Linked DNA regions of Rattus norvegicus. The protein of the gene in region 3 purifies or fractionates together with the protein of the main gene of each other region. This does not show direct contact. Links are inferred from orthologs where the notes say so. Each region holds a gene or a part of one and is shown on either strand. Other genes may lie near its edges.

Region 1 (3,645 bases), on a different chromosome or scaffold from region 3:
TGGTTAAAGCTGTGCACCCCTGTACCTGAGTCCTCAAACGCCTTGAACAAATCACTTAAGCTGCACATGGTTGCTTCACACCTTAATCCCATCACTGGGAGGACAGGGGTAAGCAAATCTCTTGAAATCAAGTCAGATTAGGGCTACATAGGGATAGTTTGCTCCACCACCCCCCCCCCACACACACACACACTCCCACCCTCCCAGAAGGAAGACAGACAGACAGACAGACAGTATTTTAGTTATTAAGAGATTACATGTTGTGGTTTTACTGTTTAGGTAGGGATGATTGATGTAACATTAGGTGAACCCCATGCCAGTCTTCCGACTGAGCTCTGAAAGTAAAGTGTCAGTCACTGTTGTTGGTTCTGCTTAAATTTGCTTGCAGTTATAGTTCTTCTGTTTTATATTAAGAGTCTTACTGATATACAAAACACAGTGTAGTATGTTTATGCTGAGGTTCAATCAAATGTAGCTTGACATAAATTTAGAAATTTTTAAAGGGTTTAAGGAATTTTATTTACAGATATCTGAGACTGCTTTTTTCCCCCAAAGATTTACTTACTTAATGTGTGTGAGTACACATTTGTTGTCTTCAGACACACCAGGGCATCAGATCCATTACAGATGATTGTGAGCCGCCATATGGAAGAGCAGTCAGTGCTCTTAACCGCTGGGCCATTTCTCCAGCTCACCCTGAGACTGCACTGGCCTTTTTCTTTTCTTTTCTTTTCTTTTCTTTTTGCAGGCTAGTTTAAAGGACTTTAACATACTAGTTTATCTTTATTGGTCTTCAGTATCCTCTTAAGTATTGCCCATGTCAGGGAAGGATTAATAGAAAACTAAAATTATTCTTACCCTTTCATAAAACAGAATTCTTGATTTCTATTAAGATGCCTTTGTATGTTTCCCTCTGTGCCCATGTAGTACATCGAATATGGACAACAGTCTCGAGATCCTCCTGTGAAAATGCAGGGCTCTATCACTACCCCTGGAAGTATTGCACTGGCTCAGGCCCAGGCCCAGGCCCAGGTTCCAGCAAAAGCCCCTCTTGCGGGTCAGGTTAACACAATGGTGACCACCTCAACAACCACCACTGTTGCTAAAACGGTTACAGTCACCAAGCCAACAGGAGTCAGCTTTAAGAAAGATGTGCCAGTAAGTAGCAGGTCCTTTTGCTTTCCCAGGATCTGTTGGTGTGAATAGGTAGTAGGGAATTTGTGTGTTATTTTACTGGAAGCATAAAGGTCAGCATTGTCCCAGAGAGCACTATGTAATGTAATAATTCAGGGATGGATTTAATGATCTTACCAGTGTAGTTATATACCCTGTTCATTTTTCATGCTAATGGAATCTCTGTAATCTTTTTTAAATGTTTTATTACCTTTCTATCTTGTTTATTTTGTGTGCATGTGTCCTATGATGCGTATCTGGAGGTCAGAGGTCTTAGGAGTTAGTCCTCTCCTTCTGGCATCTGGGTGCCAGGAATTGAACACAAGCTGGGCTTGGAGTCCAGTGCTCTCCTCTTCTGAGCACTTGCAGCACTTCTGTCTTCTAGGATTTCCCAGTCACACCTCAGCTGCTCTAACAGTGCATTATTACTTCCAGCCTTCCATAAACACAACGAATATCGATACACTGCTTGTGGCCACAGATCAAACTGAGAGGATTGTGGAGCCCCCAGAGAATATTCAAGAGAAAATTGCTTTTATTTTCAACAATCTCTCACAGTCAAATATGACACAAAAGGTAAGCATGATGTAATAGCTTATGAAATGCTCTCTTCTTTTCCTTGATGGATGGAGGGATTGGTTTTTGTTTTGTTTTGAATTCAGTTAAGTCAGTTGGTTTGTTCTGTCTATAGTCCAAGCTCCTGAGGAGGCTGAAGTAAGCATAAGGAGCTGGTGGCTTTTCTATCACGTAGCTATCACTGCAGAGCCTGTCTAGAAACTAAAGCCAATAAACTCAGGTTAAAAGGTATGATTTTAGCTGGGTGTGGTGGCACATGACTTTAAAAACATTTTTTAAGGTTTTTTTTTTTTTTTTGTAGGAATTAAACAGTATCCTTTGTTGTAGTATTGTTTTGCAGTGACTTGTAACCTTTTGAAATAATGTCATGCTCTCCTGAGAAGGGAAGTGTTATTTTTTTCCTTCCTTCCTTTCTTTGAAACAAGGTCTCATTAACTAGCCTTGGCCAACCTGGAACTCACTATGTTAACTTGGATGGCCTCTAGATTCTGTCTGCCTCCCAAGTGCTGGGATTTAAAGGTATGCACCACCATGCCTAACTTTGGTAGAAAGTTTTGTTTATGTTCTTCCAGAATCTACTATAATTGCTTATTAGGCCCTGTGAGCACATGAAGTAGAGGTTTAGAAAGCATAAGGAATGATGCTTCCCTGCTAAGGTACTGCTTTGACATGACAGTGGGTTTCAGGCTGAGCTTGCTGACACAGGGAAATAGAGGCAAGAGGATTTCTGTGAGTTTGAGGCTAGCCTGGTCTATATTGTGAGTTCCAAGCCACCTAGGGCTACATAGACAAACCCTGCCTCAAACAAAAAAAAGGTAAGTAGGTTTGATCTGTAACGTTAACCTGCTGGGCTTTGGTGTAAGTTTGTAATAGCAGCACTTGTGAGGCTGAGGGAAAGTTTTGAAGAGTTTGGGCGAGGTCAGCCTGTGCTATTGCATAGGAAACCTTGCCTTTAAAAGAAGAGCCCACACCCACTGTTAAATCTGACGGTTGTTTGTTGTTGAAGTGTCATGGGAAAGGCCAAGCCTAACAGTTTAATACCATGTTTTGTAAGAAGCCAGATGCTGTGTGCTATGAGAACCCAGACCTCATTTTATCTGTTGTTTACATTTTTTTTTAATACTAATTCTCTACTACTTTGTCGTGTTTATTGGCTAGGTTGAAGAGCTTAAAGAAACTGTGAAGGAAGAATTTATGCCTTGGGTTTCCCAGTATCTAGTTATGAAAAGAGTCAGTATTGAGCCAAACTTTCATAGCTTGTATTCAAACTTTCTTGATACATTGAAGAATCCTGAATTTAACAAGATGGTTCTGAATGAAACCTACAGAAACATTAAAGTAAGAGTTCTTATATTTCCTTTAGTAATTAGCTTTAAAGTTGATCTTGTAGGAAGATTTGATGTTTCTCTTTATGTCTATGTTCGATGTGTCCATGAAAAGTGCCTTAGATTTTTGTTTGCAATGTTAACTACTGGGTTCCATAAACATTTTAAAATTATATTTGTGTGAGTGTCTGCACACTCATACATGTGTGTGCGCTCAGAGGACAGTTTTTTAAAGTCACTTTTCAATCTTCATGTATAGCTTCAGAGTTTTACTGTTACATATAACAATGTTCAGTATTTTTGTGGCATGCCATCTTGTTGACTTGTCATGTCTGTGTGCGTGTATGCGTGGGTATGTCCAGGTGCAATAAGTTCTCGGGTCTCTATCCTGGTTTTTTTGTTTGTTTGTTTGTTTGTTTGTTGTTTTTTTTTTAAGGGTCTTACAGAAAACTCAGGTCTCTATCCTGGTTTTTAAGAAAATGGTCTTACAGAAAACTCATTCTGATGGTTGGATGTCAAGATACCTTGATTTCAGACGTATTTGAAATATGTTTTTTCTGGGATTCTATGT
Region 2 (4,224 bases), on a different chromosome or scaffold from region 3:
TCCTAAGAGAACTTTGGTTTTCAGGACTCTGATGAAGAGGAACTAGCCAGTACTCCTCCAAGCTCAGAGGACTCTGCCTCAGGATCTGATGAGTAGAGGAAGAGAATTCCTGCCCTTGCCCTGTCACACCTCCAGGCTCACACCTCCAGGCTCCCTACTCATTTGGTACCAGTGTCTATGGATTCTGTGCCATCTGAGTAACTGCTCTTGGTGGCTTCCACTTCCCTGAGGCTTTGAGGGAAGCACCTAACCTCTGCTTTGCAAGGAAAGCTCCATGCAATCTGGAAAGAGACTGGGTACTGGCAGCGCATCGAAGGATCCAAGTCCTCATCCTACTTTGCTACTTTCCTGACTGTAGGGGCAAAACTGCTTCCTGTCCTGTTCAAGTTGCTGCAGCAGGGGTCATGCGAAGTCAGGCCTGTAGCTCCTAATAGGGGCCTATTTCTACTTTTATTTTGTATTTCTGGTCTGTGAAAACAATTTAATAAAGGGAACTGACTTTGGAAACGATGTCCTTTGTCTCCTTTCCCACTTTGCATGCTGTGGTGTTTACCTTCCCTGACTGGGCAGAGCCCTCCTGCCCAGCTGGGAAGCAAAGTCTCCAGGTACATCATGTCCTCCCCAGCTGACAAGCATTGGTTTTCATCCTTGTTTTTGAAACTGTGCCACTTGAGAGTCAAGAAATGAGTGCTGATCTGATTAGGAAGCCTCTCAGAGTTCCTTCCACTCCACTCCATTAGCCAACAGAGGGGGCAGGGGCAGCGGCGGCTCTTAATCACCGTATGAGTCAAGGGTCTTACAAGGCTTGAGATAATAGAATGAGGATCGACTTTCTACTGTAGAGTGGAAACCTGAGTCAGGTGGATTGGGGAAAATGAGTTAAGTTTGTGGTGTTAAGTGTGGGAAGATTCCGGCAAGGGAGGGCTACAAAACTTTGGTAACTGCGTGTAAAAGATCTTAAAGGAGACGTAACAGGAGGAAAAAAGCTACCTCACTTCTCACAATGGTTCTTAATCTGAATTTATCCACCTGGGTTGGCCACGTCGTTTGTAGCTTTTAGAAGACTCAGGTGTAACAGGAAGACTGTTCGGTCCGCCAACGGTTCCTTTCGTGCTGCCCGCGCTCTATGGTGCTGTAATCAGTGTAGGCTTGGGGAAAGCTGTCCGGGGCGGTTTCCTCTCTAGGCAGTCATCTCGGTGGCGCTGGGGTAAAATTGCGTCAGTTTCGCCTAAATCTGAATCAGGGCCGGCCCCTCATTTACAAGGTCATGAATAATTATGTAGGATCTGTGCTTGTTTGCATACGGTGCGCCGGACTCGGCTTCAGCATCCTTTTCCTACTCCTGGTTCCCTACATGAATATTCATGAAAGCGTGGGGCGTGCCTCTGGGCGGGGCGAGGGGAGGGGCCCCGGGGCTTGCACTGGCTCGGTCCCGTGGTGACGGTGGCGGCGGTGGCAGCAGCGGTCACTAGCGTCGGGGTGTCTCGCTGAGTGAAGCCGGTCCCGGGGGAGCGCGTGAGTGCGCGGCAGCCGGAGGGGGCGGGGTCTGGGGATGGGGGCGGGGAAGGGCATGGAAAGAACCCTAGCAGCCAGGACCTCAGATTGGGGCGGCAGCGGTGGGAGGGGGTCAACAGGAAAGTTTGCGAGGGCCTGGGGCGCTGGGGACGCTCGGGCGCTGCGGAGCTGGCGCGTGTGTGCGGGGGTGGAAGGCGTCTGTGCAGTGAGCCAGAAGAAAGCGGGGAGAGGCGAGGGTGGGGCGGGGCCGAGGGCGGGCGGAGCTGCTCGAGGGACCCCCCTCCTTGCCCTCACCGGTCCCCTTCCATGGCTCCCACGGCACGCCCCCATCCACCCCAGGCCGCCCCCACCGAGTCCCTGTCGCCAGTCCTCAGTCTGTTCCTTCGCGGGCTGCTTGGCATCTCGCGCAGTCTTCGGCTGCTGCCGCCCCCTCCTTCTCCACCCTCGTCTGCTCCTCCTCTTCGGCTAGCCGCTCGGTGTCCGTAAGCTCCCCAAGGAGGTCCTCCAAACAGCCCCTTGCCCTGGGCTGTTCCGTCTTCCTGTTTGCCCCCCTCTTCCAACGCTTATCCCTCCTGACCATACTAGCCGAACATCCAGCGGGAGACCCTTAGGGACCACCCTGCTTGCCCTCAGGCCCTTCTGAGTGCCCATCCAGGGCTGGGGCTACTTAGCTCCTTTCCATTCTTTGGGGGCAGCCTCGACTCCCAGGGCTGCTTGGCTTGCCTAGTCCACTAAGGGTGGGGAGTTCCTGAGGTAGTGCGATTCTGCAGCTTATGGCCATGGCGTTGGTTACCTGGGGCTCCTGGCTGGGGCCTGTCCACCGTAGCCACCTCCCCTCTTGGAGGCTCAGAGCCTGTTTTCATCTCTCCAGCTCCTAATAGCCTCAGAGTCCATCAAGCCCCCAGGTGAGAGGGTTTTTCCTGTTCTGGACTGGGTTTTCTCCATTTCCAACCACCCACACAGTATCCCTTGCAATAATGTTCAAGGACAAGGAAGCAATCTTGTATATATTTTTAATTTAATTTTATTTTTTCTGTCATCTCTCCTCCCTCATGCGTTATTCACCCACATACAAGGGAAACAGCCTGTGGTAGTTGGCTAATCAGCCAATTGACACTGACAGAGTCTGTACCCTCTTTAAATAAGCTGGGAACAGGGTCAAGGGGATGGGGACACCGTTTGCCAAGGCTGGGCACCACAGGTCGCTTTTAGAATTGAGAACTGTCTTCTCAGACCAGCTGGAGTGGGAGGGGAACTTTGAAGTTGCTGGAAGGGTTGGAGAGGGTTGGGTTGCCCTCCAGGGCTATGTGCATTCCAAGTGTGTGGCGGCTTCTCCCTTGCTCTTGAACCAGAGGAGCAGTCCTCTCTGTTTACCACTCTGCAGAGCCTGAGTGGTCTTGTGAGTGGGAGGGTGCTTCAGCAGCCAAGGAGAGAACTGAGGGGGTGGAATGCCTGAAGAGTTTGAGGTGGGGGACATGAAGGAATGGTCTCGAAATGCAGCCTCTAGGGTAGGGGGAGAAGTAGGTAGAGGTGGTTACCAAGGATGTTAGCTCACGGGAGACACTGAATGGAGTCACATTAATAACGGCCAACTGTTACTTATGGCTTCCATGTTTGGTATTTTGCATGCATCGTTTGGCTTGAAACTCATCTAAAACCCGATTTTTTTACATAGTGAAACAGCCTTGGAGTAGTCGCACAGCTCTAAAGTGATAGACCCATTTAGCTGTTAAATCTTACAATATCAGATCCAGAGGCTCCTGGCACATGCTACTACCATGTGGCTATCATCTGGTTTAATTTCTTCTCACCCCTCAAAACTCCTTCAGGATGCACACACATTCCTATTCCACAGGCTTTGCAGGTCCCTCCCTGACTGTCCTGGAAGGGGGAACCCCGGGGAGTTTTCCCCTCAGTTATACACCCCACCCCCATGCAATCAAGCCCAGTCAGTCCTCCCTGCCCATCCTGGGCCGGCTCCTCCTTCCCCTTGGCTAGGCCCTGGAAATCCAGTGGGAGGCCATTGCTATGGTAACAGGACTAGGCCCTGGCTTTACCTCATCAAATTCCAAGCTGAAGCTAAAACGATTGAGAAATTAAAGGGAAAAAATGTATTCCAGATGTTTACTTTTTATTTCTTATTTCCCTGTGTTTGGATGAGACAGCTCATGAGTGCTGGAGGGGGGCAGGGTTGTGGAAGGAGAATGGGGGGGGGTAGGGAGCCACTCCCAGCCATAGAGGGAGGGAGGAGAATGGGAAGAGGGGGGGCCGGCTGTGGGGCGGAGTCCCAGGTTGGGGAGGAGCGGGTTTTTCCCGTCTCCCATGAGGTGATTCCAGAGACTTGAGAGTTTCTGGCCTTCTTGCTGTGCTCAGAGTGGACACCTCTAGTGGGGCTCCTGACCCAAGAGGGCTGCCTCAGACACTGTAAGTAGGGTATCACAGGAGGGAGCTTGGGGTGGTGTGGGTGGAGGTGGCTCCCTGATGTGCTAGATCATTCGGAGGTTCAGAGCCAAGAGTTGGAGAGTTGTGTCAAGAGTTGAGGATGTGGCTGTGGGGAACCTTCTCAGCCTCCTCCCGGAGTTCTCTCTCTTCCTGTCCCACACTGCCTGGGTTAGAAATAGACTTCCTTGGCTAAGCCTGTTGCCTCTCCTGGCTCTCTTCCTCCTCCACCTCTCCCTTTCCTGGGTCTTCACCCACCCCGGCTCACAC
Region 3 (4,389 bases):
TCTCTGTGAGGTGGAGGACAGCTTGATCTATAGATCGAGTTCCAGAACAGTCAGAGCTACACAGAAAAACCCTTTCTCAAAACAAAACAAAACAAAATAAAAAACCAAAAACCAAACAAACAAAAAAGAAAAACAAGTTTATAATTTTTAAGCTGTATGCCATTCCAAGTGGCGAAATGAAGCTACATGCTGCCTTGGTCCAGCCCAACCAGGATACAAAGCATCCCCTTGTCGTATCCTACCTGTCCATTAGTCACTTGGCGGACATCTTGGTTATCAGATGAACTGTTGTGGTATTACAGTGTTAAGTTCAGCTAACCCTTGCATTAATTAATTAATAACGGCTCCAATGTATAAACTTGCACAATATTTGTAATAACTGTCCACTTTTGTTGTTCGTTCTTTTATTTACCTCATTGTGTCTAATTGACCATTTAATTTATTTATAAATTAAGCTGTTTTATAGGGATGCATGTATGGGAGAGTAAACAGTATATAAACTGTTGTTCTAAAATCAGTGCTATTAAGTCTTAGAACATGACCCTGAGGATAAGGTATAGAAAGGAATTGATGCCGTAAACATTCTGGGAGGTGAGGACAAGATTTGAACCAGACACTGAATGACTATTTCCTTGGTGAAAGATGCAAGTCTACAGGTCTAAGAATGGGAGTGACTCTCAAACAGAAGTCCTAAGGAATCCATAAGACACATAATTAGACCTCTCAAACCAACCTAAAAATCTTCAAAGCAGTTGAGAGAAAGCAGGCAAGTCCTTACCAAAGGACAACTTGAAACTGGTAGGCTTCTCTTCTGAAGTGATGGGTAGGACGACCGGCACCCCTCAGGTTTCTAGAAGAACCAAGACCCCCAGGCCCTACACAGGTCAAACTGTTGTTATGGAATTAAAGGCGAAGAGGACACTCTGAGTAAAGGAAAACATGGGAACTTGCCGCTGTCATCCTGGGAGCACAAAAGTCCTTGGGGCCACAGAGCTCCAGAGAACCAGGAATGTTGAACACACAGGGGCCACTCCACAATGGAGGAGGTAAACATACCTTTTTTTTCCCACCCAGAGGGCTGGGAGTAAATATTGTTAATGATCTGGTGACCCTTTGCCTGTCTGTGGAGGCAGAGCTCACCTACCTTTTGCTATAGAGGCAGACCTCACCCAAATCCCCTACAATGTTTATCCCAGACTCTTGCTCCCTAGCTCTCAGTTAATAAGAAACATCCTTAGGGGGGATGACACATGTACTTTATAACCTGTTGACCTCTAAGCTAACTCAGTCAGAGAGCACACTAGATTCCAGGCCCTTTAGCTATAGAACCCACTGTCTTGGTCACGTGTACTTTGCAAATGAGTTTCTAAGTAGTCACACCTCAAGCTTTATTGAGCACCTGGAATTGGAATGATTGTTGCCTGGAAACCTGGAATGGGAATGACTGTTGCCTGGACATTTTTTTCCAGATTGCACTGTGTTTTTAAATATGCTGACAATGAACTGCCTGGCATTGGACTCCCTGAAGTCTGATCCAGGTTGACAAAGTCAATGTGAACCAAGCTTTCATTCTCATCTCTTCGTGGGTTGGCTTTGCTGCCTGGACACCTGCAGGATCCCCCTCATTGGCAGACCTTCCTTAAAAGAATGGCTAAGGGAAGCTCTCCAGAACTGAAGAAAATGGTAGCTGACCCTTCTAAGAGGAAAACACAATGAGGTGGGTAAACTGACTTAAATGTAACAGACTCTTCCCCACATGAGTTCTCTTACTCATGTTTTATGGTTAAGGTAGGATGGTGTGGCTCGTTGGTAGACCATTTATCTAGTACCCGAAAAGCCTCTAATTCCTCCTCTAGCACCCCACAGGACAAAGGATATAGAGGACAAAACGGCGGCAGTAGGTTGTGATAAGCTGTTTATGGGTATGATACAGCACAAGAAAACTACAATGGGGTACAACTGCAACTTTAGGGAAACACAAGGAAGGCCAAGCGGCCAATAGGGAGTCCTGGGAAAGCAAAACAAAACAAAACAGACAAAAAATAGGCTGACACACAGAGCAAACAAGAAAAATGCAAAACCCAAACGTTTAAATGACTGACTTAGTCGTAGCACTTCAATGGTTGTGCTAGATGAAGTAGTCTGGGGGCTGGCAGAGGCCTCAGTGGTTAAGAGTGTGCACTGCTCTTACAGAGGACCCAGATTCAGTTCCCAGCCTCCTTGTCAGGCAGTTCCAGGGGGATCCAGTGTCTCTGATCTCTGGGCATCTGCATTCACATGCACGCGGCCAATCACACACACACACACACACACACACACACACACACACACACACACACACACACTTAGAAAAATGAAATAAATCTTGAAAAGAGAAAGAATGATGGGTTAAAAAAAACACAGTTCAGGGGCTGGAGAGATGGCTCAGCGGTTAAGAGCACCCAACTGCTCTTCCAGAGGTCCTGAGTTCAATTCCCAGCAACCACATGGTGGCTCACAACCATCTGTAAAGAGATCCGATTCCCTCTTCTGGTGTGCCTGGAGACAGTGACAATGTACTCATCATATATAAAATGAATAAAAAACAAACAAACAAACAAAAAAAACCACAGTTCAACTATATGTTACCTATAAGACACAAATAAAACTGTTAAGAGTTTGAATATGGGGCTAGAGAGATGGCTCAGCGGTTAAGAGCACTGACAGCTCTTCCAGAGGTCCTGAGTTCAAATCCCAGCAACCACATGGTGGCTCACAACCATCTGTAATGAGATCTGATGCCCTCTTCTGATGTGTCTGAAGACAGTGATGGTGTACCTACATACATAAAATAAATAAAATCTTTTAAAAAAGAGTTTGAATATATGTCCCCCCACAGGCTTCTACAATGGGGGTTTGGTGGCTAATAGGCTTCTGGGAAATAATTTGATCCTAAGGACTCTGGTCAAAGCAATTGGTTTTTCTTTCATGGATTCTCGATGTGAAGTCTCGATGTGTTTGGAGGTGGAGCCCAGTTAGAGGACATAGGTCAGTAGGTTGTGCCCGAGGAAGATGTATCTTGTTCCCTTACTCTGCTTTCTCTCTTCTTAGCCACCATTAGGTGGATGAGTTCCTCTTCCACATGCTCATGGTCTCTGCTTCATGCCAGGCCCAAAGTGATGGGTCCAGTAGCCATGTACTGAAGCCTTTGAAACCATGAGCCACCATAAGTTACTTCATGTGACTTCGCCACAGCAACAAAAACTGTCAGAGTAAGGAAAGGGAACAGATGGGGAAAGATAAAGGAGGCCCAGGCTGAAATGGAGTACTTCGCCAAATATAAGATTTGTTCCTTCAAATAGAAGAGGGGCCACTTCACTGGTTTTATGGGCCAGTTGTACTCTCATCTAAAGATAGCACAAGAAAGAAAACCATGAATCCCTATCTCTCCTAACTTATGTAAATAAACGCATGAAAACATTGGCAGATCAAATCTAAGAATGTACAAAGAGGATGACATTCTTCCACTGACAGGGATCCATCCCAGTTATACAAGGTGTTTCAGTATCTGAAGATCAACAGGAAAAGTCCTATGACTGTATCAACTTAAGCAGAAAAGCTGAAGATATGTATTTGTGATAAAACACTTATGAGAGAAACTCTGTGTCTGTGGGCAGGGGAGGTAGTAGCTTAGTTGAGTAAGTGTATACACGATTAGTGCATTAGTCAGGGCTCTGTAGAGGAACTGATTGAATGAATGGATGGAATGAATGAATGAGTGAGTGAGTGAAAGAATGCATTAAAGATTTATTTAATTATGTGTATGAGTGTTTGGCTTGTCTCTGTACCATGTGCGTGCCTCGTACCCAAGGAGGTCAGAAGAGGGCATCAGATCCTCTGATCCTGGAGTTACAGACAGTTGTGAGTCCATGTGGATACTGAGAATCCTCTGCAGGAACAATTACTCTTAACTGCCAAGCTCTCTCCAGCCCTCCTGAATCTCAGTCTTCTTTGGAATCCTGAAGTAGGTTCTACTACTAGAGAAGAAGCAGCAGGTTAGATGAACTTGCCAGCGGGAATGAGGGCAAGCAGGCAAAAACAAAACCCCAAAATTTCATTCTTCCATGCCCTTTATATAAGCTGCCACCAAAGTGTGGCCCAGATTTAGGGTGTGTCTTCTGACCTCAAATGATCCAGATTTTAGAGTAAGTCTTTCCACTTCAAATGATCCAATCAACAAAATCCCCTGGGTGCCCAACCTTGGATTTTAGTTATTTCCAGATGAAGCCAAGCTGGCAGCTGAGATTAGTTATCATGCCTAGCATGTGTAAGGTTCTGAGTTTGATACCTGGGACCACACAAGCCAGTGGTGCTGCATGCCTATGAGCTGAGCTCGGGAGGAAGTCAGGA

The links.
Region 1: the proteins of Cnot6 (region 3) and Cnot1 purify together in Homo sapiens (affinity purification with mass spectrometry; 5 studies listed by BioGRID and IntAct, with this or other methods). This does not show direct contact. The link is inferred for Rattus norvegicus from reciprocal best matches to the Homo sapiens genes CNOT6 and CNOT1.
Region 2: the proteins of Cnot6 (region 3) and Tnks1bp1 purify together in Homo sapiens (affinity purification with mass spectrometry; 3 studies listed by BioGRID and IntAct, with this or other methods). This does not show direct contact. The link is inferred for Rattus norvegicus from reciprocal best matches to the Homo sapiens genes CNOT6 and TNKS1BP1.

Annotation. Positions count from the first base shown.
Region 1 is NC_086037.1:9,316,722-9,320,366, forward strand, and holds part of Cnot1 (CCR4-NOT transcription complex subunit 1), read left to right. Parts: intron 1-927; coding exon 928-1,158; intron 1,159-1,608; coding exon 1,609-1,749; intron 1,750-2,907; coding exon 2,908-3,087; intron 3,088-3,645.
Region 2 is NC_086021.1:90,540,626-90,544,849, forward strand, and holds the start of Tnks1bp1 (182 kDa tankyrase-1-binding protein), read left to right. Parts: upstream 1-1,380; 5' UTR 1,381-1,515; intron 1,516-1,565; exon of another isoform or gene 1,566-2,420; intron 2,421-3,782; exon of another isoform or gene 3,783-3,939; intron 3,940-4,224. Other genes in the region: FACT complex subunit SSRP1, read left to right, coding at 25-96.
Region 3 is NC_086028.1:34,529,238-34,533,626, reverse strand, and holds the start of Cnot6 (CCR4-NOT transcription complex subunit 6), read left to right. Parts: upstream 1-1,500; 5' UTR 1,501-1,717; intron 1,718-1,898; exon of another isoform or gene 1,899-4,389. UniProt on the Homo sapiens protein: Poly(A) nuclease with 3'-5' RNase activity.